Schizosaccharomyces pombe: one gene and its partners. The protein of the gene in region 2 purifies or fractionates together with the protein of the main gene of each other region. This does not show direct contact. Each region holds a gene or a part of one and is shown on either strand. Other genes may lie near its edges.

Region 1 (8,459 bases), 2.6 Mb from region 2:
AAGTCGCATCGTTTTCATCGTGCATTTTTTGTGCCCCGCTATTCAGATTTTTCTAGTGTCTTGACATACTCTACCTATTCTATATCAAAATGATGATTTCAATAAGCCTTATAACTCATTGATTGACTAAAACCTATTATTTCTTCTAAATTTTCTCGTGACATATGCTCACTCAAACCTCACACTAAAGTGGTTGTCGCCGTAAACCTCTCGATTTTTCCATTCACCAACTACTTCCCATTGCATCGATCATTTGTAGCTAGGACGTATTTCTTATTTCATTTTCGCCAAACGGTTTCTATTTTTTTTTATTTCTTCGATTTTCATTTTCCTTTCTTTCATTCACCTTACTACCCTTAAAAATACGCTGGACAAACTACACATCATTATGCTCTTCCGTATTCCAACTTTATTTACGCTCTTTTTGGCTTGCTTCAGCCTTGTATCCGGCGTCTTTGGCTACTCACCAATGTTTGGATCCAACACGATTGAGTTAAATTCCAAAAATTTTCGTAAATTTGTAAAAGCAAAGGGCCCATCTTTAGTTGTCTTTTATGCTCCGTGGTGTGGTTATTGCAAAAAGCTTGTACCTACTTACCAAAAATTAGCCAGCAATCTACATTCACTCTTGCCGGTTACTGCTGTCGATTGTGATGCTGATCAGAATAGGGCCGTTTGCTCTCAATACCAGGTACAGGGCTTTCCCACTATAAAGTTGGTTTATCCATCTTCCAAAGGATCTTCTCTTTCCTCTACTGATTACAACGGTGATCGAAGTTACAAGTCTCTCCAAAAATTCGTCTCTGATTCTATTCCCAGTAAAGTCAAAATTTTGACTTCTGAGGCAAAAACTCAAAAATTCATCCAAGATGCTCAAAACTCCTCTAAGGTAATTCTCATTTCTCAAAAAATGAAGCCGACTTTGCTGTACAAATCTCTTTCAAATGAGTTCTCGAGCTTACCTTTTTCATTTATGCCTGCAAAAGCTAATGTGAATGATCTTTTCAATATTTCTGCGTATGTTGACACCTCCGATTTACCCATATTATTCATAAAACACCCCAACAATGGAACATCTTTTTTTTCAAATTCCTTAAATCGGGATTCTATTGTTGAATTTTTACAATCTTCAATTAAAGATAATAATTTTTCAGAATACTTAGCAACTTTTTGCTCAAAAAAATCCTGCATTATTACAATTCAGGATAAGGACTCGGATTCTGGAATAGACGAATCTATTAGGAAAAAGTACCCAAAACTTCACTTTGTACGTCTTGGTCGAAATACAACAGTAGCCGAAAGACTTGAAGATACATTGGACCTTGGTTATAGTGACACTTTTCTTCTCAGTCTTAAGAAATCTCATTATAATGCTAAGCCCTATGGAAAACCTTTACGCCGTTGGTTGGAAGATATCCAAGTACAACAAGCAGGACCTTCAGTGTCTTTGCCAAATGACCTCTTATCAAAGATTAAATAAACACACTTATTGTAATGTAATTTTGCACTTTGCAGTACAATATGTTACTCTCTTTCTACTCACTCGTTCTCGTCATTGCATTTTATATTTTGTGTGAAGCTTTCCTTTACATGAAGCTTAAGCACTTTTAAAAGCTATTTTTTATTTAATTTAAAATAAAGATGTTATACATTCGTATAATTCCTTTTTGTCTCCTTCCTTTAATGAATTATTATGCTCGTCTTGCTAATTTTATATTTCAAATACAGATTCACTAAATGAAACTTAAATAAAGCGTTTATAAAAAGTTTGAGAACGATTTTCTTTACAGAAAAAATTATTTATATAATACACTATAAAAGATATTATGTTTATCTATAGACAAATTACTTCATAATTAAGACATTAACAAAAATGAGCGATTTCAACTGCTCTTTGGGGGCAATAAAGCTTCTTCTTTGTTCAGTTGCAACTTCAAGTTTTCAGGCAAATCAAAACGTAGACGGAGAACTTCATGAATGTTCATTTCACTAAAACCTGCTTTACGCTTGTCTTGCATGACTGCTGGAAGAACGTCAATTCTAAATGTTAACAAACTTTCTCTCCTAAAAGATATTCACTTACTTGACCATAAGTAAACTTAATAATTGAAGTATCAACTTAAATTTCGCATCAACGGTATCAATTCCCCAACTAGTCAAAGTAGAATGGAAAAAATTAATATCACTAGATAAAGTCAGTAAATTAATCACTTTCGATAAAAAACAAAAAATTGTGCGTACTTTTGCAACAACAAAGCGCCAGCCGCTGTGACTTTGGAACGAAAAGCAAAACTTATAAGCATTGCAGCAAGCATTGTTGCCGTCTTTTGTTTTAAGGCCAATAACGAGGGATCATAAGGTCCTAATCTATGATATAGGTTTTTTATATAATCTAAATAATTTTGAACATTCCTAGTCATTGATTGACGAAGCTCGGTAGAAGAATCAATTTGTTCTTCTGTCATAGCATAAGAAATTTGCCTATACGGACTTAAAATAATTTCCAAATGGTCTCCTAGTGCATGCACGGTCGCGTAAAATACATCATTAACGGCACATTCAATAACGGAGATTGAGGAACTTAGAATGTTAACCGTTTCTCTTCGAGATGACGCGGTCACTCCAGTAAACGGAATCACTATTGACATTAAATATGCAGAAAAATATCCCATAATTTTCTTACATTCCCTAATGTCCACTAGGTAATGAAGATCCAAGTTTTTCGACTTATCATGTGAAGAGATGTATGATTGTATAGATGAAAGCTCCTTGAATACATAATCTTCGCGTATCAGTTTATCCAAAAGGTTCACAAGCGAAGATATTACAACTGACAAATCTTGGCTTGAAATTAAGATAGACGCCCTATTTAAAGCCTCTGCATGCCAGCCAATAAATGAATATACTTTTTCCGAATTAAGATGGCTATGGTTTTTTTCAATGGTAATGTAGTCTTCAGTAATGAATGAACCACTTTGTATTAGATTTTCCTGAATGTCAGCAATCCTCAAAAGGAATCCTTCAGTTTTTGTATTAAATTGGGAATGGACTCCGGTAGGCGCAACCATATTGCCTTGTAGAGGAGTCATCAGTGATCTTAACAGACCGGGCTCTGGAGTTTCTAAGCGAATTTTGTAGCTTGTATATTTGTATAAACTTAGTCGAAATAAAGACCGTAAGGAATGTTCCTCACGCTTAAGATAATCATCAACTTCAATAAACGGAACCAGTAAATCTTCCATATATTGATTTAAAGCAAGAGAGAGGGGGGAATTATCGGATACCGAAAACCCTCGATTTTCTAAAATCGTTTTAAGATCGGCAACAAGTTTTCTTAAAGAAGAAACAACTGTCTGGAGTGTCCTCAAATATGCAAGGTTTGACTTCCCTTTAGCAATCTCCATCACTTCTTCTAACCTATTTTGAATAGACTGACCAAAAATTCTTTGAAAGAAAGTTTGGAGAACCAATTCGGGATTAGGGAAAACACGTTTAATGACCGCGCAGTCACCTTCTATAACAGAACATAATTCACTAAATAAAGAAGATAGTGTTTGAATTAGCGGTGGTATTTTCTGCGTTGGATCTGGCAAAATCAGCCATATAGGGTCTTGTTCTAAACCTTGACGAGATTGAACCTTATCAGCAGCAATGAAGAACTCATGCTGATTAACGAATTCACGTACGACAGATGCACCACCATTAAACTCCTGAAGTATGGTGCCAAAAGATGCCATACCCTTCCAATTGGGCTTTCTGTATTCGTTGTTAAAAAATTTTAAAAAATTTGTCTCTAAAAACTCGGAAAATTTTTCAATTCGTGCCAGCGTTTCGCTCGAATCAGGAAGATCAACTTCATTAGCAAGCGCTAACAATTGTCTTGTCCTTTGCGCACATAATAGCATTTTGTCGTGATTATTGGTACGAAAAAAATCCATGAGGGTTTGTGGTTTTCCAGACCGAAATTCCAAATAATACCTCAACAATTCTGCTGAAGATAAAATTCTTTTACGGTTATTTTCCGCCCGTTCTAATTCTTGGCCAGCATCAACTAAACCGCTGCGCATGTCATTAACGTTATCTTCCAAATGCCTTGATAATTCGAGGACCTGTGCAAATTTTTCACGTAGATGATTAGATTTCTGGTGATACTCATTTTGAACTTGCTTTGATGCTGAAGCATAGTCACGTATCCTATCACCAACTCTAGACTTTAGCCGATTCAATTCATGAAGGCATGCCGCAAATGATTTGATAGACCCATCAATTGAAGATACTGAAACATTCTGTTAGTAAATCATACCTATATAATAAAATATGTAACGTATAGTATTCGAGGTATTATTTTTTTGGGCTATTATAACTGTGACAGAAGTAGGAAAACCATAAATCGAAAGTAAACCCAAAATAACAATAAGCTCCAGCGATTAAAAAAAAGCTTTTGAAATACTTAGGACACGAATGAAGAGGAAATGGTTTCGATACAAAACAAAATATTAACTTACATTTTTTAGAACCATCATTTTGGGTCTCGTAAAGGGACTCAGCAAACTTCTCTACGAACTCGGTAGAAGGAATTCCTTTCTATAATCTGTTAGTTGAGAAAAGGGCAAAAACGGGATTCGGTTACATTGTCATTTAAAGAATTTAATAACTTTATCTGGGAATCATTCAACGCGTTTTTTGTAGACATGTCTTAATAGACAAGAAATTTTAAATCTACAATTCTCGAATAGAAAAGTAATGATCAAAGTTTCCTTTGGTTTGTAGGTGATGGGTTATCACTAGGTTCTATGAAGTGGGTCATAGCGAGAGCATAAGTGAAATAAGTAAACCGAACGTGTCATGAGAAACTAATTAGGTCCAATTTTTATATAATGGTACAAACTAATTGCTCATATTTATTTTCATAATTATTTTTTCTACTACTCTGACACAGCTACTCAATATATTTTAAACATAAACCAGATCATCTCTAGAAAATTGCCAAAATCCGGTTTGATTCAACAGACAAAAATATGTAATTTAATCACTAAGATTGTGATAAAGGATGAATTTTTAAATAGTGAAGGATAATACACATTCATCCTTTTCTTCGTCATGATAAGTTCTTTCATAATAAATCGACAAATTAAAAAACAGAATGCGATTCCACGAACAAGCAAAAAAAAGTAAACATTTTCAATCATCTTCATAAGCTTCTGATCCATCAGTAAATTCAGCATCCAAATCGGAATCACTGAGGACCGATTTTACAGTTGTGTGATGCCTCTTGTTTTTACGTACCACTTTAGGAGGAGAGGAAGTTTTTAATTTCTGTGAATTAACGTTCATTTTTTCTCCGAGCTTTCTACTTTCACGTTCATCACTTTCTGAAACATGGCCTTCATTAATTGCATCAACAACTTTATCAATCCATTCTTGTGAAAGAGCGGTAATTCCATCTAAACTGTTGACAATGTCATCTTCTCCTAATCTGTTTTTTATGTTTTTTAACATTCTAGGAGTAACACATCCCCAGTGTTTCCATGCCCAACTCTGAAATCTACCAGAATCCACAAAAGTCCCGAATCGTACAGTTCCAGCCAGTATTTTTGACCTAAATTTTTGTCAGTAGAAAAGAAATATCTCTACAATATTAGACATGTAAATAGCGTTCTGTGATGGTTTCCAATCGCCTGCCACGAAATCGCTAAAAACAAATGAAGCAATTTTATCGAAAGTACCATCAGCTGTACTGAATTTGCGCTCATATCTCAATTGTTTTCAGTTTATGCTAAAACCTTACCGACCACATAAAGAGCCTTTGCATTTTGCACGGTTGTTGGGTGCAATTTCTATGCGATATCCACTTCCACCCTGTTCCATTAATGTGCAATGTTCGTACTGTAATTTCTTCAATACTTCTTAATGTTTCGAATTGAACTGAAGATAGAATAAAATTACAAAACTTAAGTTTATTTTATGATCAATCTTGATAAATGCAGCTCCTGATTCTCAAGTTTGTTTAAAAAACAATATGGGGATTCCAACAGATAGAAACTCGTGATGATATTTCTCAGTAGAAAGCTAATGTCCAAAAATATGAAGATATTTCAATATCTTAACCTTAAAATTAGTTCGAGGGAAATGCCAATTTTGCTTAATGTCAGCTTTAAAAGAAACTAAGCCAATTCTTAGCTATTATAGAGATAATAACAACATCCCCGAATACAGTATAAAGGATATAGCGTGTAACATTGACTCATTGAAAGCCATGATTAGCAAACGAACACCTTCTTACAGTGTATTATCTACATGGTGGATGGGATTGCTACCCGATGTTTTGACAACAAGGGGTGATTTTATACCAGTAACGTAGTAGCGTTTAATTTCTATCAAAAGGAACTCTTCGATGAAAAAAACAGTTGATTAAAATCAATATAAGTAAATAAATCGTGAAATATCAGACCTTATTCTAGTTAGTATGAAGTAACTTGAATCTTTGGATAAATTTTACGCGTTCAATCTTGATCTGATAATTTTTGTCTTACATCATGCTACATAGTGTAGAGCTGGGAATTCTAGATTATACATTCAAATCTTGTCAAACATTTGCGCTTTAAGAGCCTTTTTTATTCCTTTCATCTTTAAAGTTGTTTTTTTTTTCTTTTTTTTTGAAATTGCAGGTTCTTTTACAATAGGTGCTTTGTCAGGTCTTAATCAACATTATTTCCTTTTGAGCATCTTCTTTTTCATTCGTTTATTTAAATTAAATATATCAGGTCTCTTAATTGATTATTGTTCCTAATAACTTGGCAAGTGGACCGAAATATCTTCATGTACTCTGATGATTTTCCAATTGAATTTGATCCAATGCCAAGTGCTTGCTACTAAAAGCGTTTAGCTTTAAAGATCAAGTTAACAAAAAGACGAAGACAATTTTATTAGAATTTCTTATTTTGTTGTATTAGAGTACAATGAAATATAAACCTTTGACATATAAGCACTCCATTCGAATGATTGTTCAAAAAGATACCTTTCTTTTTCATCTTTTTGCTCAAGTGCTTGTAATGTTTGCATTATTCTAAAATACCGGTGTGTTTTATGATTCGTTGTTCTGGTTAGCAATGCTAGTTGTGTTATAATACATTGCGTTGAGCATCACCATATGCACATGTCCTAATCATTCATCGTACCATGTATGATACGATATTGAAATTAATCTTAATGACAACCTATTAAAATCTATGTTATCTGAATACCATAAATAGGGTACTGCTGAACCTCGTTCCTCAGTTCAGTTATAAGCTGTATTAGTGATAGGTAACATTATAACCTAGATAGTATAATACCTGTACTCAGTCGCTACTTATATTACCTGCGTTTCGTAATATAATAGGTCACAAGGAAAACTCACCGCAGTTTACGTATCGTTAAAGCAGATATCAAACTGCGTAGCTGACATTAAATATGAACAAACATTGTTACACGGTAATTTTGCAATTTTGGCTCTGTGTACAACAAAATTATCTGATCTTCACCAACTTTGTCACATCACCCAGTTTATGAAAACTTGGCTAGTTTTGTAGTGAATTTTGTATTTTCTTAGGTTTGTATAATATAGGAATCAACCACCGGGCTCAAAAAAACTTACTGGTGTTTGAATTGCAAGTTTCCGTTTGAAACTTTTGCCCATCCCGTTATGTATTATTCTTCCCAATAGTGGATTTATTTTATATCATTATACCTCTTTCCAATTATTTTTTGCTTTTTGAGACGATTATTCTTGTTTCTATCCGCAGTTTTGTTTTGTTTTTTGGAAATTACTTCATTGAATTGACATTTACAAAAATATCATTTCCATATCTCAACTCATCGTTCCTATACTATGATTTCTCATGTACTCGTTAAGGATACGTCTTGTTTGAAGGTTCGGACTAGCTATAAATGTTTTGTCAAATACTTCCCGAAATGCTCTGTTCAAAGTTCCTTCCATTCATACGATGAGTTAGCTTTCTCAAGGAGGCTATATAATCTACCAAGGACATTACTTAACTCTCGATATTACAGCAATCATTCTCATGGGCTAGTCCATGGATCAAAATCGCCTCCTTCATCACAATTTTTAGTACCCTCGTTTCTCCAATTTAATGGACAACTGAAAGCTCTTTGTAATAATTCAGCTTTTCAAGCTCTTCCTATTAAACTTTCCGATCTACAAAAGCATTGGCCCTCTTTAAAACCCCATCCTTTGCCTCCAAAACGAGTTTCCCTGGGCATCCCCTCTATTTCCAATCCTCCTGTAGATACCGTTATTTCTGATTCTCCTACTTCTCCTCATCCTCCTTCTTTTGTACAACCTCATCCTCCATATGGTATTTTTGCGGCCCCTATCCTTGATGTACGAGTTCTCACTAACCCTGGTGCTGTCAAAAGAACTTATAATTTATGCTTAGATATCTCGAAGTACCCTTTAC
Region 2 (6,829 bases):
TACTTCTTTATTTCTTTTGAAGTCTGTAAAGGTATTTTTTGGAGACCTTGCCTTAGTAAATTATTTTCATCAAAAAGTCGATACGTTGTACAGCCCACAAATTCATAGACTTCCTCATCATTAAAGGATGGTTTCCAGGCAGACACTACAAATTTTGCGTTCAATGAGAGCTCAGAAACGGTAACCCCAAAGTCGAGCCACTCATGAGTTGATATCTTAGAAAGCTCAGTAGGAAGTAGACTCTTATTTGGTATTTTTGAAACGAAACATTTTTGCATTAAAGATCCTGATTCATTCCCTGAAAACAATTGAATGGTGCAAATGCATGGTTCTTGACTATCTTGATATTCAATGAAGCAAAATTTAACCAAGAATCTGGCAGTCACCTTGCTTGAAGGACAATATGAAAAAACAAGTCTATCCATTCCATATGTAAAGCATTTATTTTTTGGAAATTTCACTTTTTACCATACAAATAATAGCCTGGGATTGTTAATGTGGTGGTGTACTAGCTTTACTAAATGTGGTAAGACAAGAAAGGCTGTAGCTAAAGTACACGAAGCAATGATGAATTATAATACTGTGGAATTTAAGAAATACTTCGTAAAATAAGTACAAAATGCTGAATACGGTATAATAATAATAATATCTCATAATCTACTACACAAGTGTTTTTGCTGTAATTTTTGAAATACAAAAAATAGGACGCATTCATCTCTACATCTCGATGTAAAGTCAAGTTTTGAGTGTCTGAACATAACACTGTAAGCAAAGCTTGAGGCGGAATAAATGGTAAAGCCGAAGAAGCTAAAACTGCTCTGAATAATTGATCACCTATACCCTCTATGCGCTAATGGTGTTTTATGTTTTGTGTTTGCTCACATTGAATTAATTATTTTTAGTTTTCAAGCACCGGAACGACTAGGAACTAAGCAACAATTGCTGCTTGGTTAACAATACGATCAACTATGTGGTTCATTCAACAGCACATAATCTTTTGCAATAATTGATATAAATTCACACTTTCTTGAAATATAAAAAATACAGTTTTATGAATTAACGTTGTTGTAAAAGAAGACCTAACAATTTGCTTAAAAGTGAACGTAAATAACATTAAATGATAAAAATGAATGTTTTAATATTTTATTTTATCTGGTAATTTTTTAAAAAAATAAGTTCGATAAAATAACAAGCCTGTAGATTTACTGTCATATATTCATATAATATTCGGAGCAAAAGCATATTAAAAGTCTGATAATTTTAAATTTTTATTTAATTGTAAAATTTAGAACGAACTAATTATTAATCTTTCATAATAAAACTAATTATTTTATAGAGGCCCTATTTTAGTATCAGTTTATAAAAAATACGTGTCTGCGTAAACCAGTGGAATTTTCTCATAAGATTTTCCTGTTTTTAAATTCATAAAAAATTATATTTAAATCTTAATTGACTTCAATTTGCGGGATTCTCTTATCGGTCGCTTTTGCAAATTTATCGTGAAAGTGACTCAAAAGCTGTTGGCATTATTACTTCACCAATTTAAAACAAAGTTGAGTGGGAATTTTATTCATTTATTTTAATTCTATATATTATGAAGATTTTGCTTTAACCTCGGGCAGATACATTATTAAAGAATATGTCTAGCATACTAGTACTTGTAAAAATATAACGATTTTCATTGTATTATAATAAACTTGAGATCTGAACTTCGTCATCTAAATGATCCCTTTTAGCTAAAGTTTAATCGTTTGTCTTTGACTTGTGCCTGAACACTTTTATTAGTGAACTACATAAATAATTGCATATGGATGAATTATTGGAAAAGTTGCTAAACGATCTCAAAAAGAAGGAACCGAAAGCATGTAGTATTATATGCATAGGTACGCTCCATATTGAAATTCTTATTTATCATGAATAGGTGAAGACCTCGATATTATACAATGTATGAACGAGCACGGATGTTTTAGCGGGGGAAGTTATTCAGAATTATCAAATGATTGTGAAACTGTAAATTTTCGAGGAATTGCTTATAAGTGTTTCTTTACAAAGGATCAAGTGAAAGGTACGCGATTAGTACGATTAACCAATTATCTCATGCTGCTAGTAAACTTTTGGCAAATTTCACATTTAACTGGTGGACTATTCAATTTTCTTGTTAGTCAAGCTTTAAACGAGCATGGATTGGATCTGTTATGGATAATAATGGTCGTAGCGCAGACTCTTTCCGCGTTAGTTTCCTTTCCGGAGAAGTTATTAAATATACTTCGGAATATGAAAACAATTCTTATAAATACCGAGGAAACTGTGAGGAATCGATTTGAAGAGTCTCGTAAGATTGATTGAACTCAATTATCCTGTTAACTGATCTGCTTTAGAGAACAAAAAACTGGTAGCTTTACTGGATAAGAACTCGACAACATTGGATATAAGTAGTGGTATTCTACTAAACTTTACGGTTGTTCTGAAACAGGTAAGATACCCTTGAATACTTGCACATTTACTAATTTGTAGTTGAAGCATGCTTTAGGCTTGCATACCTCAGTCGATAATTCACAGGAATTTATTTTACAGTTTTTGCGAACGACACTTTTATCCGTACCAACGTCCTCAATTGTTTCTATCTCAGCGGACCCAACAAGCTGGAATAATCTCAACGTTTTAATGAAGTATAATTTTATGTTTCAAAAGTTTAAACCTCGAGATTTTCATGCTCAAACAATTCAATCAGAAACTATGTTTATACCTCCTTGTTGGGACACTATCTCTAAAATACAGAGTGTCAATCATGAATTTAATATCGCCCTTTTTAAACAAACCGCTAAAAATTTTTACGATACTCTTGACATAAGTTTATTACTTGGTTTATTTGATAAGAGTATATCGATGTTGAACTGTCATTCCTCAAAAATATCGGATGGAGATATACCCTACAAATCGCACCAAGTTTTTTTGCAAGAACTACAGAACAAGTATAGCGAGATTAAAACGTATTCTTCAAACAAATTAAATAAATCCTCCATAAAATCAAGTTTGTGGAAGGACTTAATTCAATAATTGTAATTGGCCTAAAGACATTCATTATTATTACAAAATCATATTATTTAATTAAAATGCATTAATGAGTTTCTGTCAAAATTTCAACCTCATAAATAATATTTTTTTTCTTTTAAATCATGACCATAAAGAACTATTAAAGTCCGGCTAATCCAAATCGCTCTGGAACCAAAGGAGCTGAGTCATCCAGTAATTTTTCCAATGCGAGCGTTCTGAATTCTGAAAGTTTATTTTCAAATAGAATTAAAACAGCTGCTGAGAGTGACTTAACTTTCTCACCTTGATCAGGGCTTTCAAAAAGAAACTTAGTATACGCCTCAAAGAAGAGCAAATGCTTCCCAAACTCATTAGCTAAAGTACGCCCAGAAGATATTTCTAAGATAGCCAAAAAACTAAACAAAAGCCCTTCATTAACTTCTGGAGTGTCTGATCGAAGTCGGCAGACCTCATTTAAAACGTCAACATATTCCCGGAGCATTCTGTTTGCCCCTTCTATCTTTGAGGTAAAAGTTTCAAAAAAGAGAATACCCAATGTCTTAAGATAGTAGACTAAAAACAAAGGCTCAATAAAAGCCGTTTTCCTAGATGCCAGCATATAACCACTGGTGAGGAGCAGGAACAATGATTTATCTACCTTAAGCGATAATCGATTGGCCTTTGGGAGTGGCTTTTTCGACTCGATTTCCGACTGCTTTGAAATATACCGTGTCTGTAAGAATTTCGGTCCCTCCGCATAATCCTTGCATTCACTCATTACCGGAAAAACTAATTTCCTTTCTAATTCATCACTAATCTTTTCAATAGTGGGTGAATAAAACTGATCGTGTAAATTTCCTGGAAGTAACTGGCTGGGAAAAAGACGTTCATTATCATCATCGTTGAATTTGCTAGCAGCTAAAGAAATACAAGATAAGATAAGTATTTTTTGGCGCATTGAATAGTCACTAACAAATAAATTTGTACAAATAACAGGACCACATATATCTAAACAGGTTAACAGAAGTTCCACTATAGCAGTCATTTGCATTTCATCAAAGTTCATTAAGTCAAATCGATTTTGTAAGGAAATTAACGTTTGTAACAATTCATCTGCATGATCTCGTAATTCGGTTCCAAAAGCAGACTTTCGTTTTATTAACTTAGAAGCGTTTTCCAGTGCAACACGTTGTTTCTCAAAACTTTCTGTGTCTTTTAACATTTTGCACAAATCTTGTACGTACACAGGAGAATGCGTCTTGGATCTAGAGACAGTTGGATCGTCGTCCGTGTCCTCACTGTCAATATCAGGAAAATCGTAAGGCTCCAAGTCATCTCCCCTTATTAAGTCATCGTTTTTAGAAATCACTGGCTTCTCCAAGTGAGTTACATTCGTCTCTTCCTTTTCTATCGAAGTCTCTGCGATAACACTTTCGTCATTCAAAATTTCAATAGGCAAAAATTCATCCTTGAGTGAGCTCAACGATTTGAGAACTTTTGCTTTCGTAGTCTTCATTATTGGAACGTCAAAGGCTAACGGGTTACTTAAGCTGACACCCGAATATGTAGAGATTACTTCGGCCATTATCATTCCATGCATTCGAATATCATCATCTAGACTATCTAAACGGCAAGATATTGCATTGGAGAACATTAGGGATTTGGAAAGATTATTCAAATATTTTGCTTCAAGTTTCGGAATAAATAGTAATAAATATATTGTTAAGCTCTCTTGAGCTAGCAGCGTATAGCTCCTCAAAAATTGCGCATTTGACCATATATTAAACAGAGAGTCCACTGTTTTTTCTAGCTCCTTTTTATCAGATTCCTTATAAGATATACTCGAACAAACTACTTCTACCCTTTTAATTATTAAATTTGTAGGGACGCCCCAATAAAATTCAATTAATCGAAGGAAGTGAGTGGATGAAAAGTTCAGCCTTAATAATGTAGCCAATGAACCTGTTATACGATCATCTCTTGCGGTGGAATATGAAAAATTGGTGGGATATTTGGTATTATGTTCAAGAAGAAGTTGATTGAGAAACAACATTTGATCAGAGACCGTCAAATCTGCAAATAATTTTTGTAGCTGAACACAAAATTTTTGTGTTAATGGAATCAATGGGTTAATGAATGCCTTTAAATTGGATGAGTGTAATAAATAATGGAATAGCTTTGAATATATTTCTGGGGTTTTAACAGCAGGTTTAGATATAATGCAAGCCAATTTTGAAGATAAAACGCCAATGTAGTCGGCCATTGATGAAGCCTTCAAACGTTTTGAATCATCGTAAACCTTGAAGGTAAGCATTGCAGCAGACATTGAATTAGTAATTTTAAAGTTTCCCAAGAAAAAAATAAATTCAGTCCACAAAGATTGCTTTTGATGATCAGATAATACAGTAGATTCCCATATCAATTTACAGTTATCGTCAAGGTCTATACATTCAAATGCTTTTTCCAGTAGCTCAAGATAAACTGTAACAAGATGAATGTTTTGCAAATTAGCCTCTTGAACAAAATTATCTAGTCGAACACATAGCAGTTTTAAGCCCAAAAGAGTAGAAAAACATTTTGCAAGGAGAAAATCTATTTCTGAATTAATTTTCCCATTCCAGAATGTGGGCACTATCACACTAATTAACTCATGATATAATCTTAGATTGCAAGGAGAAGGAACACCTATATGCTGCAGTTCTTTAAGGATTTCTTTTAAACGCGGCTTTTGAATAGGTTTGGATAGTTCGCTAGCAAAGGATTTCATATCCTTGGAGTTGAAAAATAACCGAATTATTTTGGGGTGTTGAGAAGACAGTAACCTTCGGTGGATTAATTCACCGGTCAGCAATCAGCAATATGCAGGATTATAGGCTGCTTGGCTAAAACAACACCAAAACTCTTTACAAAGTATATAGTTATTTTTAATTTGTTGTCCATGTAAATTACTTTAAATTCTATTAATTGTTTTTCATTCTATAAAGGTAATTTGAACTCAATTCATATAGTTTTTTAAATTGTGCTCTTAAACTTCCTGAGAATGGTGTATGCAACAATTACATGGGTAGCATCGGGATATTCTGTGAAACCTGTAAAGCTCTTCGATGTATTATTTTCACGGACTTTTCACAGCCTGAAATTGAATAGGAACTTACAATTTACGTGACAGAAAAAGGATATTATGTATAATTTAACTTAAAGACATTTTGTGCTTATATGCAATAGTTGTAACAAAAGAATGGATAGTTATGCTTTCAAATTCGCTTTCTATAAGTGAAGTATCCTGTTGCTTTATAAGACTAGTTGCAATATTTCTATTTGCTTTTAAAAAGCAAGTAACTTTTAGTTTAAAACTGTTTTTGTGTACCTCCCAAATTAAATGTTAATGCTCCGCTAATCGGTAAGCTAATCCGTGAGAAAAAATGCATTAATTTTTCTTGTTTCGTTCAAGTCAACACATTGCAAATAAAGGTCACTAAATTTACAATTCAGGATTTTTAAATTGAAATATTAAACATAATACGTGGACGAGTGCAAAAAACTACCAGTTTATTTAAATAAATAAAAAAAAAATATCATAACATGTATTATCGTAATCTTTTCCTTAGACTGCTCTTCACACGATGTCTGAATAACCGTCAACAAAAAGCTATTTATAAAAATTTCAGAAACAGGTAGTCTCCTTCACAGCACTGCGAACGAAAACTCTAGGGAAGCAAAACAAACGGAGTTTATCTGCCTTGTTATATACTCGTTAAACGACAACTCAACACACACCACTATCCACCACCAACAA
Region 3 (6,402 bases), on a different chromosome or scaffold from region 2:
CAATGTCTAACATAAACTTCACCAAAAAAAGTACTATATAATAAAAACCGAGGGAATTAGTTTAATTAACAGAAACAGTAAAAAGTATTAAGCTATTAAATCTCTTATGCTTGCTTTTTTATAATTTGAAGAAAGGACATTAAATATAAAAAAAGATAAGAAACGGAATAACATAGAGTTAAAAAAAAAAGGAAAGAAATTTAAAATCAGAGATTAGCAAAGGAGGAGTAATGTGAGAGAAGAAGCCTACAATTAGGAAGTGAAGTCAATTTATTAGAGCTATAATTCATGATTAAATCACCCAATGGATTGTGCATGTCTAGAGGAAAAATGCTCCAGATAAATTGACTAACACATATGAACATCAACTCTAGAAAAGAGCCGCACGCCATCCATATGAACAAACAAGGAGAGAGATTAGAAAACGCAAGAGTTCAGGCAAATGGGAGGAAAACTATGCAATTCCAAAAACGATCTAGATGTACAAAAGAACTGCTTTACCTGGCGACAATCACCCAAGCTTAGCATATCCATCGTATTTGCGAAAAGCAGCATCTGAAGTAGCTGCCGCTTCTGGATAAGCAGGAGGGGGAAACTCGGAGGATGTTTCGTAAGCTGGAACGGTAGGAGGTTCGGTGGGAGGAGGACGATAAGCTTGGGACATGGGGGGCATCGGATTATGTATTGTTGAGTTATAACGGGCTTCAGGTTCGGCTGTATAAGGGGGAGGAGCAGTGAGAGGATAAAAATTGGTGAATGGAATAGTAGCTTGTCCTTTTTTAGTACGACGACGATTAATGATACCGATGATAAAGAAAAAGAAAATCAGTGCAGCAATACAGATGATCACCACTACCCAACGACCATAGGCTGACCAGGGATATGAATTGGTTTGAACAATGGTGGTTCCACTGCTCCCGTCACTGGAATCGCCGCTGCTACTGCTGCTGCTATCGTCATTCATTATTTAACAGAAAAAGAGAATGTGGTCTAAAAATTTTGAAAACAAACTAAAAAGCGAGAACGAGAATGAAAAAACACCACTAACAATGGCAATACTGCTGTAGAAACAGGGCTTGAAAAACACCACAAAGATACAAAGTACAACAAGGAACACAACGATAATAAGGCCTCAGAACCGTTCTAACAAGATGTATGACCAACAATAATCAAAATTGCACTGATGCAAATATAGGCAAAAGAAGAGTTGGCAGTAGGGAAACACTAATCGTTTATGGCTCAAGTGGTTCTATTATTTACAAGAGGTAACGATGTAAAAAACAATCAGATGTGTTTGTATATTTGATTTTGAGAAATAAGAGGAAAGCAAAACACAAAACAGATTGGATGAAAGAAGAAAAAAAAAAATTGGTTTTCCTAAAGTTAGAATAATGCAGGTTGATGAAGATAAATAATGTGATTTACAAACTGTGCATCTGAGCCACCTTGTTGTCGCATTTTACCGAAGGCGATGGATTAAGGTGCGTAAAGTTGGGACAAGCTAACTTAGTCGACACGGCTGACCAGCTTGGCTGGGCAGGTTTGAAAATCTTTGTTCTAAACGTAAAAATGCAAAGTCATTTATCTGTTGACTTTCAGTGTTGATTTAACTTTGAATATCTGTTTCCATTGTAAATTTTTGGATCGCCTGCTTGTCTTGTTTATTGGCGCTCGAGTGTATTCATTAATTAATCACTAGCACATAATAGAAGATGTAACAAATTATCAGATGAATAAGAAATTGAAAATACTATAGTAACATTGTAGTACTATCGCAATACATTACAAACTTGAGACATCATATTGGTGAATTAAAATTAAAAGCAAATATGCAAGTTTTGTAATTGAATGTATGGACGACACACATGTTCGAAATTTACCAGTGTAAATATGATGAAATTGATATACGAATGAACTAGCTGCTATATAAATAAATAGGAAAAGGCGGACGAAGCGATGTAGTCAATTAGTGGTAATAATATTTATTAGCAAAGAACATTTTCGAAGTCATGATATTATTTCATTTTTGTGAGAACCAAAAAACTTTTGTAATTCAAAAGAAGAAAATATGAAAGGAGTATTTTATAAGTTTAAGACCCAAATTCCACGCTGTGTAAGCGTAAATAGATTTTTAGCTTTGTCTAAAGAGAGAGGTTACGAGGTTATATTTGAAATGTACATTTTAAAGTCATAGTTTTTGTTATTTGCTTGAAACGTACAGAATTGAATATTAAATTTTAAGATACAAAGATGTTTCAATATATTTTATCCCTTGTTATGGAGAGTAATTCATTTATACTTATTTGTCTAGAAAAGATAATGTTCTAGTAAGTAAATGAAAAGAGATACATGTGCGAATGGGAAAAATACAATACAGCTCAAGAAAAAGTAAATGAAAATAAATAATAAAAATAATAAATGAGAAACTACGTTAATTTGGAAAGAAAATGAGTAAACAGATATTACAACTAAAACGTAGATTTTAAAAAATAAATAAATAGAATAAGTATGAAAATTAAGTAAAATAGTAATAAATATATGAATGTATTGTAATAAAATTTATAAAATAAAGATACATATTAAGTATATGAGCAAAAAAGGAGTCGTCAAATTATAAAATAGTTATTCCTCCTTTATAATGTTTTGTTTAATGGGATTTCAAGTTTCCACTTTCATGGCGCACACAGACATCTTTGTTTCTTTTTACATATGGCTTCCAAGTAACGTTAAGAACACTATCTCAACAAGTAAACCAAAAAATTGTTGAAAAAAAATGTGTGTGTGCCTCCTTTGAACCATCTGCGATTGGAAATTTCACTAAGCCACGAAACATCTTATTAGGTAGTATTGAAGGATTTGAGAGCACTTGAAAATGATGCGTGAAACAACATCGTCCCAAAACGTAAGTGTTGCTAAGTGGCTTTGGTACTCGTTCTGTACAACGAGCGACAAATGATCTGTAAGTAGCGAAATCAAAAATTCGCAATGTTGAAAAGCCTAGACATGATGATTGATGAATGTGCGTAATATGAAAATATCCAAGTCATGTTCATTGCATATAATAGATGGACTCTATAGCAACCTTGCTTGTTAGTGTAAGCCTCTGACAGCATCAGTAGCGAAATGCCTAAAAGTTTAAAAAAAAATTCCGACATTCAGTAAATACACGCATGAGACAGTCGAAATGTGTAAGAGTCAAATGAATTTGTAATTGTAAATGTTTATGTAAAAACTAGACAGCGCAAAATAACATCGTAGTGGAACAACATGAATGAATATTTTTTTATTTTGAATGGGTTATTTTTTTTATTTCTTAATCTGTTTTTAAGGAAGTGAGGAAAATTTTCCGTTATTAGTTTATTCTTTTATATTCATTTCAAGTGGTTTCTAATTGTACCATTTTAAATCCTTTCAATTTAATTTAATTTATTGATTTATTTTTTTTTTTCAATTCAAATCTTTTTTTTTTAATTTCATATTGTTTTTATTTATTTTATTTATTTTTTTATTTATTTTTTTTTTGAGTAATAATCTCATCCGCTTGTTTTCGGTTCTAAAAGTTGCTTAAGAAGCCGTCTATTCCATAATCAACAGCGATAACCGCACCAAAATACCCATATCGTCCTCGTTTCCTCTCTCATCTTTTTCACATTTTCACATTAGAAAAGCATATGTTTGGCATTGGAATTACAAAACTTCTCCATCTCCTTGCTTTCCATTCAATTTATTGTTGATTCCTTCCTTTCCATGCAAAACGCCGACCTTGCCGCTTGCCGCATGCCACTACACTGCGCAGTACTGCACTGACGTACAAGGGACAATCCGGAATCCGGAATACAGAATACCAGCGCGCCACGCGTTACAAGGATATTGTCCAATGCACTCTAGGTTTTTTGATCCAGCACACAGAGAAAGAGAGAGTTAATGGTAATATATATCGCAATGCTGGAAACAGTTCCGTATTAGGCGCAAGCATACCCGATGCTTGAATAAAATCCTAGCAACTGATCTTCCAGTGAAACATGATCGACGACCTATAAGTTGCTCGTTAATTTCATCAATTCTCATGCAATTCCCTTTCCACATTTCCATCCTTACTCCTAATACTAAGACCCCATCAACGTTTACTATGTTTACGCCTCTTAACGAAAGGTAACGAATTGCGCCTTTCTCTCTGTCTATTGTCAGAGATCAAATTCCCTAGGCAATCGAGCCCCTAATGCGATTTTTCTAGATGGACATTATGACCAGATATGGTACTTGATAATTAGGTTGTTTATCCCCTGAGGGCCTAAGGGATCAGTTCAAATGAGACGTGATGATTGGTTCGATTAATACATCTCTATCTGGCTCTGCGCGCTTAATTACATCATTTTCAATTAGTCGGGACATCGCAATAATGTCTGGAGAGAGCGATACGGCATGGCTGTGCCTCTTCAAATTTCCTATAAATGGCAAGGGAAGCTCTCCTTGGATCCTCATAGACATATCGCTATCCATCAATTTCTTTTATAGCATTCGTTGAAGTGTTGTAGTGTTGTGTCAGATTTGATACGGTTCTTATAAATTGTAAACATCCTTTGTTTCTATCCTCTTTGTCTGTCTCCTTTTCTGTATTTTATCTCAACTCGCAAATTTTTTTAGCGAGTTGTAGAGCATTGGGTTTATTTCATTAATTCGAATACCGAGCATCGGTTGGAATCGTAAATTTCCTCGTCTAATCAAATCAATCGTATTTGAAAGATTTGTTTATTTACTTTTGGTGCATTGTAAACAAACAACTCCTTCTCAAGCCAAAGTCCTAGCTTGTCCACTGTAAATCGTTCGAAACAGCTAAAAGCATAGCAAGGTATAGAAGAAACATTTGAAAAACATTTGAACACTGCGTCAATCTTTGTTTTGCGGAATAGGGTCTTGCTTTTGTAATTTTTTATTTCAATTAGATCCATTATCTTCCTCTCAAAATACCATCTTTCCTACTTGCTTTCTTCAACAGTGATAGGAAGTAAACCTTTGTGCGTCTTTGCATCCATTCTTTTTTTTTTTTTTTTTCGCGGTTTAGTTTGATTAGCTTTGGATAGGGAAAATGACTGAAGTTACTAAAATCAATCCATCAACTGCCATTACGGAGCTTGAGCCATATGAAATGGCTCAAACTAACAAGGAAGTACCCACCACTTCGCTACTTTCGAAGGATTATTACGGTCATTCCATTGAAGAACCCGATGAGAATAATCCCACTCGTTGGCGCTATGAACGTCCTCTCGATACTGTTCGTGCTTGGCAATACTTGATTGATTGCGATGAAAATTTCAAGACTAAACCTCACCGTGAACAGAATCAATATCGTCCAACCGCCGATTCTTTCCGACCACTTTCGTTTGCCAGTATGGAAAGCAAGTTGACTCAACGTCTCTCTCGACATCTTTCCAAGACATCTTCTCGTCATTCTAGGCTTTAGACTACTATTGTTGAAGCTCCGTCTTTTTCCTTATTTTTTTTCTATCTTTCATTTCTCAAGTTTTTTTATACCGGGCTGTCAAGTGTTTTGATTCCAATTTTGTTTATTTAGTATTTTTATTGCTTCATTCTTTCCAAATTTTTTTGCTGTATTTTTAGTTTAGTTACGATCTTACTCTTACGATTTCTTTTTCATTTTTCTTCTATTTTGCATTTTTTTTTATCTTTATTTGGGGTTTACATTGTTATCAAGTGTTATACCGAGTTTCCCCCATTGTGTTTTTTTACTCCTATACCATTTTGCATGAAAATTATTTTATTTCGTATTTCTTTAATACAATTTTTCTTTTTTTTTACTTTTGTATCAGTCTACTGTCGTTCCGTTGTTCAGTTTCTTATTGTTTACTAATAGTAAATAAAAGTTGATTTGCCTCGAAACACGTACGTTAATTTGGTATTCCATAATTCCAACTTTAGGGTATAGCAAAAAAAAAAAAAATTTTATTAAAAATATGCAAATTATATATACAAAAAATAAATATATATATATAAACTATTTATGGGGTTAAACATTATTTAAATATAGCAGTCATTATATGCATTCATTTAGCCAGTGTGTCCAAGCATTTGACTGACACAATAAATAGTATTCTCGATACGCAAAGTCAGACGGTAGAACAATGAATACTCCTCGGCCTGGTTTACGGGAGCTGCCAGACCGGTATCGCAAGGCGGTGGTTCAGGAAACCCATGCAGTATAGCGGCATGGTCTTCAAGACGCTCACAAAGTTCATAAAGTAATTGATACTGTTGGTCATCAAAAATACAACCTTCATATCCACCAGTACTCTCTGATGGTGATACGTTGCGCAAGGATGAAACCGATCTCTTCCCAGAACCACCCTCCTCTCCATGGACAGATTTTGAATCACTCAATCTTGC
Region 4 (8,162 bases), on a different chromosome or scaffold from region 2:
TCATATTCTATAAAGCAAATTTTATCGCTTTCCGCAACTTCGTTTATAGCTATAAAATCCCCACCAGAATAATAAAAACCCTAGGATTATAACTGACTATATCTCGTTAAGACTTGCTAGGTTTAATACAATAAATATAATGTAGTTTGTATTATTGAGTTTGGTAGTGGCTGACTACAATTTAGGAGACTAAAGGTACGATGTAATGCGTACGAAGTATAGTTTTTCATGTAAAATTTTAAGATTATTTGAGTTTACAGTACTTGTTATTTGACATTAAAAGGTTTAAAAAATTTATCAATTACTTGCTATTGATATTTTCTATCCCATCTTCACTCTATCTAAAACCAAGCCTTCTTTGATATATATATTTAAAACAACTTTTAAATAGATTTGCTACCTAAAACATTTTCAAATGTCTTATTGAAATCTAAAAATGAAAAACATGCTAAGGATACGTATGCTCACTAATTAGCAATTTTTATATAAATCCGTTGGTTTTCCTTTGGTCAAAGAAAAAGCATTTATAACATGTTTGCTTACAATTTTAAAATTGATGATAGGACTAACACTTGATTCTTTACACTAATTAGGAATTTTTTAAGAAGGAGCAAAATTTCTTGAAACCATTGAACTTTCAGTGAGTTTTAAACATACGTGATCTAATTTGCATACAGAGAGGAAGCTATTTTTTTGATTATGGTTTACCTGTATCCAGAATCCCATCGATCGTGTATATGAATTTGAATAGTATAGTGGTTTTAAAAAAGGACGGAGGAAACACAAATTATTTTAGAATGACTGTAAAAATGAGATAGCCTTTCAACAGTACGTGTTGTCAGCAATACATTAAATGAAAATAACTGCTTCTTAAAAGTCAAAAGCCGCCTTATTTTTTACTTGATCACGACATGAAAATTGCTTTCATCTGTTTAATATAAATCAGCATTACGTTGTTGGTCATGATACGTTTGCATTTCTTGAAACGCATCCCACCATAGCTTGGATGTGTCTTCATCATAACCTAGACTTCCTTCTGGTTGCCAATGTTTTCCATGAACTGCTTTTAGATATGGTAAGTCATTTTTTCTAGCCCAAAGTCCGTTAAAAGTCCAATCAAGTGACTCCCATGGAAAAGCACCTGCTGAATTGTATGCAAAATTTAGCAAACTTTGCTCCATCATGTTTGCATTATCATACAATTTTGGAAACCTTGCTAATGCCATTAACCTTTTATAATGTGCCTTCAATGGCTTAAAGACGAATAGACCAGCATTAAAATAATCTTTAAAAGGAGGAGGAGTTTCATGCCACATACCTGGATCGGACACAGCAGCGAAAACGTAGGGATAAAGATCGTCTCTTGTCAGCCCGTAAGCTGCAAACTCTTCTGTAAAGCGTCTCCAAAAAATGCTGCGCCTAGGCTTGTAGAATAGGGTGGGAGGAAACAGAACAGAATCCTTACTATAGGAGAGTTGGTGAACATCAAAAACTTTGTCCATTTTTTTAATAGGCAAAATATCACTATCAAGAAAACATATTCTATCATATTCGTACATTTCGAAAACTCTCAACTTGGTAAACATCATACTCCATCGGGAATCCAGTAGGGCAATGTCATTGACATCGTCAACCACTTCATGAGCATATAGTGGATCGACTACTTTAACAATAGCTCCGTCTTCCTGCAATTGATCAAGCTTCCACTGATCAATTCCCTTCATGGCTAGCACTACAACGGGATACTTGCTTTTCGTAGGTTTAAATTTGACAAGTCGGTGAACGAGAAGCCTAGTTGAATTATAATACCAATCCTGTTGCGTATTTTCTACTTCGTTTTCCCCATTAGCGGCGCGTACAGTAAGCATAGTTACAAATGCCATCTTAGAAGAGGGCGCCAACCCTGTCAGTGTGTAAACTGACCTTTGTATTTCTGGACTATGATTGTATAGCAAAACACATTGCCAACCTAATAAAATAATGCTCAAGGTAATCAGTAAACACAGTCCTAGTCGTTTGGGATGGCGAAAAGCACTAAAATATAAACGCATTTTAATGGCAATTGATTGCCAAATTATAAAATGGTGGTGCTTTCGGAGAGAATTACTCTACATACTCCCTTAATGTTTGTTGGTGCATCATACACATTTTGCTTACTTTCAATACCAAAACAAACTCAACACCCTGAAAAACAAATAACATAATTAAATCGACTTTATAACGTAAAAACATCAAATGTTTAAAAATTAAACAAGCTTACTATTTTAACTATAAGAAATGTTAAGATACATGACTCTGACTTAAAATTTTCTCTTATTTAATAAGACGTTTAACCTAAACCAATTATAGTATAATACTAAATAGTTACCGACAAGCTAAGCTACTCAAACTATGTCGAAATGGGTGAATGACGAGATAAAGACAGTTGCTTCCACTGAGGGTTAACAGCCAGTGTGAAAAAAGGATAAAATAACGGTGACTTGAAAAAAGGGCTATCGAACAACTGTTAGAAATTGTCCGGATTTTTTAGGTTATAACAATTGCTTAGGGAAGCAAATTAAGACGGGAAGCAATATCCACTTGAGTACGTAAGGTATTTGCGAGATAAACTACAACCAAAACATCTTGAAGATGTGATGAAAAAATTTTTTCAAAATCTTGGCCTTCTACGCAAGGAATTAAACTAAAGCACTTCATCAAATATCTACCGACAGCAACATTAGCAGGCGAAGAACCATCAATTACGTTTTGCACATAATCGGAAACTCTTTCAATCATAGATAAAAGCTCCAAGGTTGATCTTCGAAGTTGCTGGAGATCTGTGAATAGGCTAGCAAGTCTAGATGGGTCATTCTTAGGAGCAGCTACAGCTTTCAAACCAGAACGGACTGCCTCGTCATCACGAATGGTAAAAGGGGTAGGGACGAATGCACAGCTGTCAGCAAGGCGCTCTGTAATACCTACTGGTGAAGAAACGTAAGTCTTGATGGCAAGGGGACTGCTAACATCTGTGTTGACAGTAAGGTGAACACAGGGATGAGGATACGTTCCTAGTGGAGCAGTTCCGGGTTCAGCAGGAGAAGCATATAAATTTTGAATCAGTGCACTGAAAGCATCTAAATCAGGAGAAGTAGCATACCAACCAACGACAACTTCACGAGGGTTAGCCTTGAGGTGTAAATGGTACATCGCACGATGATATTCCATTTCAACTTCTACCTGCTCACTGCTCTCATTATGAGGAACTGCAAAACAACTTTTAATCTCAATTTCTCGGCCATCTTCAGAACGTGTTCCCAAAAGTGTACCGATAACACGTTGATTATTTTCACTTTTCCGGGTTGAATGGTCAAGGATAGAAAAAAGCACTGCTGGTTCAATGACAATGTTCAAAGGACTTGACCTGGAAGACGGTTTTGTGAGATGGAGTACGTGCTTAGTCCCCAAAGCCATTTTTTAAAATTTTCACGTTGTTGGCTACTCTCAGGTAGGTAGATCTGGTATTGTTCCCCAATCAATAATAATTTTACTGTACTAGTTTACAGTCTCATAGAATTCGTTAAATTGAAGACACTATTTTTCGCCTAACTTCTAAGGTTTACCATTTAAGAAAGTGTATTTTCAGTTGCGTTGAATAATCTAAAAAATCTCCTTAACAATGTCTCATTTGTACGTACAATAATGAGAAACTCTTTATTCAAAATTCTATAACTATTTACATTTGTACATTCTCTGGTTAAAAATCATTTATATATATATACAATGTTCAAAAAATTCGGTTAGCAAAAAAGTGTAAACATAAAACCCAAAAAAGCAGTTTGCTTTTTCTTGACTAATAATGAACAGTAATTTAACTCATATCAGCAAAAACAGAGCACTCACGAACATGAATACCATAGGAAGTAGGAACCTTCGTTTCTTCATAAGCACTTTCTAGCTGAGAACCTCCACTAGAAGAAGTAGTATCAAACATATCTGGTTTCAAAAACAATTTGGTGAGACCAGGGTTATTAGAGGAATCAACCATGCGAATACGGAACTCGATAACTGGCTTTCTAATAGCAGCACTAGGACTAATCGCAAACTTGGCTAAAATTTTAAATCCAGACGAAGATATATTAATGTTCGAAAGATGTAGCTTAAGTTTACTAGTTTTCCTGCTAAATTCTCCGGCCGGAGAACTTTGACAGCTTTTTACAAGGACATTTTCCCCCAAGTAAACGATGATAACAAGTTTTTCAATATGAAGAGATGAGCCTAAGTTCCTCCACACAGGATTAGGCTTCACAAATGCAATCATACTACTACTGCTTTCATCATGCTTCCATTTCTGAACAACTGTCAATGGAATGCAACTAGCACCGTTAATACTATCAAGATGTAGATTAAAATCAGTGACTTTGATTGGTGAGAGAAGTAGCTCTGGTATTAAAGAAAGTGTGTTTTCTGAGGGTCCATATTTTACTGCATGGTCATTTAAATGAGTAAAAGACATAGGAAATTCAGACGCAACGCGAACACCCATTTCAGGAGGAGGGGTATTAAAATCCGAGGTATATTTCATGAATATATGACCGGAACAGGAAGGATGAAGAAGGCCATCTTCAGATAATTCACCAGAATACTTTTCGACGATTGAAGCAGAAAGCCCGGAAGAATTTGGGAACTCAGGGTGCCATGTTGCAGTCGAGTCTGGTCCCGATTGTAATGATAAAGTAGACAAATTGGGCAAGCTACCGAGGTTTGATTCCATATAGTCAGACGATGCTGTAGCATAACGATCCATTGTCCCAGCACGACGGGTCCTTCTTGATATAGTGGGATTCTTTCGTAAAGTATTTGCTACCCTTTCAATTGCAGCATTGCTATCCTCGTTTTCAGTAGGCGCAGGGGAAGCCACCGCTGATGTGGGAGACGTTGTTGTTGATCGTGATTGCATGTTGTTAAAGTTCCCACCAAAATCATTGCCATGCATCATGATAGGATTCGAATGTGATGCATTCTCTCTATCGATCGATGAAGGGGTATTTCTTGAGGCTTCAGAGTGCACAGAATTGGGTTTATTAAAGGGGGAAGCCTTGGAGGAAATCTTAGGCGTAACCGTTTCTGCTTGAACATTAGGCTGCACAGGTAGCGGAGCCTCCAAAAAGGATGAGCGAACATTGTTTGCACGAATAGTGGCATCGTTGTCCTCGCCCTCGTCGGAAGTTTCATTAAAGTTTTGATAAGACGAAGCGTTATTATTAGTAGAGGGATGATCCCGAATTTGTGAAGAATGATTGGAATCATAATGTCTTCGTTCGATTGAACTATCATCTATATTCGATGGGTGTTCTTCAGCAGACGAAATACTCGAAGCTTTGGAGTTCTTATTAAAAAAAGCAGTTAATTTATTAGGGCGACCATTAGATTTATGCGAAGGCTTCTTATCCTTTTTAGGCATTATGGTTTTCCGACGAAACAACGTGGACATTTTGTTCTTCAATTTACCACCAGATTCATTTTCTCCATGACTCTTTTCCTCTTTAGATTTTCCATTGTTTATGTGAAAGCCCGATGACTTAGATGGTTTATTAGCAGATGCGGAAGACATAACTTTCGATGTGGAGTTCATGAATTGACGGATTTCACCTTCAATAGGTAGATCAGAATAAACTGCCATAGATTTAGAAAAAAATTCTTGCTGTTTAAGAGCCGTATCAGTTTCCAAACTTGCAATTGTCAGGTAAACTTGTTTCAATATAAGGAGGCGTTCCTCGTCAACAATTTGCAATTTTTCAAACGCTAAAGGAGCATCGGAATCCCAGGTTGCACGAGAAGCAGTGAGATCATTCTGACTCTTAGTATCCGCATCACGGCCTTTTTTTTTTAATCCCTTCAGACCAGGTACAGAAGACGATGCCATCTCCTCTGCAACTGTTGATAACCGCTCTGCTAAACGTCTAAGCGTAGCCGTTTGTGGTGAAGAAGTATAATAATCTATCAAAGGTTTATAAACTTGCGAAGCTATTTGTCCAATGATTTGACTGTGATATCTTGAAATTTCAAGGGTTTCTCCCTCGAGCTGTTTCCAAGCATAATTAAAAGCAAACGATGAATTGTTTTTTTCTTGCATGTTCATTGCAAGCTTATGTAATTGATCTGAGTATTGCCGTTCAATATCCATTCGCTCACGAATCCACTGCGAAAGCATGTCGTTGTCTAGGCGAACTTGCTCTAGGCGCTGTCGAAAGATCGACATGCTGTCGTTTGGAGAGTAGTTTGACTATTTGTTAATAAGAAGGAAATAGCTAAAATAAAGCTTACCAAAAACGCATCTACATACTCCGTTTTCGTCAATGATTCCATGGCGTGGTGGTGGTTAGTGTAGGGGGAATGCGACTCGATACATGACACTTTATTCCAAAATTGCAAAACAAATTGTTTATGGAGGATGATTAGTATTGCTATTAGATGGCTGTTATGAAGACATAAGAAAATATTTTTAATAAGGCAAAATTTTCATTTCTACATACATCAATATCGATGTTTCCGAAATATGCATAAATAAATTAATCGATTATTAACTAGTTAGCTGCTCAATACTATGGATTAGTCTCAAAAATATTTCAATTGAAAAGTGACCCAATATACCAACACATATTCGAACCGCTTAACGATTTCTCAAAAAACACAAGTTTTTGAATAAAAACATATAGGTAGTGAAATCTATTGAAACGTTCAATTTTTTTAAGCCTTCAACATACGCTAATTTCAAATCTGAGTTCTCACTACTATTATCGCACCTTTTTCTATTCTTTCGAAAACATACGTTTGAGCAGAGAAAAAGTCAGTAACAACTTCCATAGTATAAAAAAGAAGGAGATATGTTCAAAAATCAACAAAAAATATGAATAATTGTTCGTAAACCCATATTGTTACCATAGATGAATTTTACTAACTAGTGCTTATAAACGAAAGTTTTCTTTCGCTACTTAAGGTAAGTAAGCAGAAAACATTGAGAATGGCTTTAATTCAATTAAATTTAAAAATGAAGAGAGACCAAGATCAGAAATCCTAACACATGTTAGACTATTAAGGCACTTTATCTGAAGTGAAGTCTAATAAAATGTAAGCAACGAAAGTCAGTTGATTGATACCAACATTCCACTCGCATACAGTACGAATTCTCTAAATAACTCCAGTTTATTTTTATTACGACAATGAAACCATAATGCCATGGTTTAAGTGGTCAATATGTTAACCGTGTAACAATGAAAGTACATCGTAACGTGTTAGCATCAATAATCCGGTTTTTTCGGTTTGTTTATAAATTTACCGATGCGCTAAAATATCTAATTTGTAGTTTACCAAAAAATTTTACGTGTGTTATTGTATATAACGCGCTGTAAAATAAGTAATGAAGCTTCACAGCTATGCACATTGTAACGCATTTCACCGGACTTTAGCAAATTACAGTCTAAGGAAATTTTCTTTTCATACAGAACCAAATAGGTCTGTGGGCGGATTGCATGTGCCGGTTGTATACAAAAGCAAAATAGTACAATGAATATTGCACAGCCAGTCTCTTCGGAGATTAAAAGTGTGAAGTTTGGGATTTACGATGTTGACGATGTCGAAAAAATATCCGTCAAACAAATCGTAAATCCCGTTTTGCTTGACAATTTAAATCACCCTACTAACGGCGGATTATATGACCTTGCTTTGGGTCCATATCTAAAAAATTCTGTTTGCGCTACATGTCATTTGGATGAAAGATACTGCCCTGGTCATTTTGGTCATATAGTACTTCCTATTCCTGCATATCACCCTCTATTTTTTTCTCAAATGTACAATTTATTACGTTCAACTTGCTTGTACTGCCATCATTTCAAGCTTTCAAAAGTCAAGGTTCATCTTTTCTTTTGTAGACTCAAGTTGCTTGATTATGGTCTTTTAAATGAGTCAGAGATGGTGGAGAATGTCAGTCTTACTGAGGCAATCATAAAGAATTCTAACGGCACTCCACTTGAAGATGGAAGTGACAGCGAGGACAGTGGTCTTGGACACGATGATATTGCTAAAGATGCTGCAACACTTATGCGCATTCGCGATGAATTCGTTGCTAAGTCTATTGCTGACTCACGCCAGAACGCTCATATCGATGCTCAGTTGACTACACT

What was found.
Region 1: the proteins of dli1 (region 2) and sec10 purify together in Schizosaccharomyces pombe (affinity purification with mass spectrometry, with the first as the bait; one study listed by BioGRID). This does not show direct contact.
Region 3: the proteins of dli1 (region 2) and SPOM_SPBC19C7.04C purify together in Schizosaccharomyces pombe (affinity purification with mass spectrometry, with the first as the bait; one study listed by BioGRID). This does not show direct contact.
Region 4: the proteins of dli1 (region 2) and syp1 purify together in Schizosaccharomyces pombe (affinity purification with mass spectrometry, with the first as the bait; one study listed by BioGRID). This does not show direct contact.

Annotation. Positions count from the first base shown.
Region 1 is NC_003424.3:2,179,684-2,188,142, forward strand, and holds sec10 (exocyst complex subunit Sec10), read right to left. Parts: upstream 4,787-8,459; 5' UTR 4,694-4,786; coding exon 4,631-4,693; exon of another isoform or gene 4,585-4,630; coding exon 4,506-4,584; exon of another isoform or gene 4,453-4,505; intron 4,285-4,452; exon of another isoform or gene 4,277-4,284; coding exon 2,242-4,276; exon of another isoform or gene 2,186-2,241; coding exon 2,084-2,185; intron 2,041-2,083; coding exon 1,884-2,040; 3' UTR 1,767-1,883; downstream 1-1,766. Other genes in the region: mpd1 (thioredoxin family protein), read left to right, coding at 389-1,480; zf PARP type zinc finger protein Hpz2, read right to left, coding at 5,182-5,599, 5,789-5,868; SPOM_SPAC1783.01 (methionine synthase reductase), read left to right, coding at 7,871-8,459.
Region 2 is NC_003424.3:4,733,833-4,740,661, reverse strand, and holds dli1 (meiotic dynein intermediate light chain Dli1/Dil1), read left to right. Parts: upstream 1-1,764; 5' UTR 1,765-1,807; coding exon 1,808-1,883; exon of another isoform or gene 1,884-1,921; coding exon 1,922-2,065; exon of another isoform or gene 2,066-2,107; coding exon 2,108-2,332; exon of another isoform or gene 2,333-2,378; coding exon 2,379-2,473; exon of another isoform or gene 2,474-2,514; coding exon 2,515-3,057; 3' UTR 3,058-3,181; downstream 3,182-6,829. Other genes in the region: phosphatidylinositol 3-kinase Pik3, read right to left, coding at 1-425; TTT co-chaperone complex LRR repeat subunit Tel2, read right to left, coding at 3,194-5,800. UniProt on the Schizosaccharomyces pombe protein: Component of the cytoplasmic dynein which acts as a motor for the intracellular retrograde motility of vesicles and organelles along microtubules. Promotes oscillatory nuclear movement and efficient pairing of homologous centromeres during meiotic prophase.
Region 3 is NC_003423.3:2,824,751-2,831,152, reverse strand, and holds SPOM_SPBC19C7.04C (uncharacterized protein), read left to right. Parts: upstream 1-4,480; 5' UTR 4,481-5,086; coding exon 5,087-5,461; 3' UTR 5,462-5,902; downstream 5,903-6,402. Other genes in the region: protein Rcr1, read right to left, coding at 512-964; cyr1 (adenylate cyclase), read right to left, coding at 6,067-6,402.
Region 4 is NC_003423.3:3,120,354-3,128,515, forward strand, and holds syp1 (cytoskeletal protein Syp1), read right to left. Parts: upstream 6,369-8,162; 5' UTR 6,349-6,368; coding exon 6,307-6,348; intron 6,266-6,306; coding exon 3,851-6,265; 3' UTR 3,649-3,850; downstream 1-3,648. Other genes in the region: alpha-1,3-galactosyltransferase Otg3, read right to left, coding at 1-4; alpha-1,3-galactosyltransferase Otg2, read right to left, coding at 933-2,051; tif306 (translation initiation factor eIF3f), read right to left, coding at 2,545-3,453; DNA-directed RNA polymerase I complex large subunit Nuc1, read left to right, coding at 7,546-8,162. UniProt on the Schizosaccharomyces pombe protein: Multi-functional protein that contributes to the endocytic process, but also to events that occur at the neck during cytokinesis.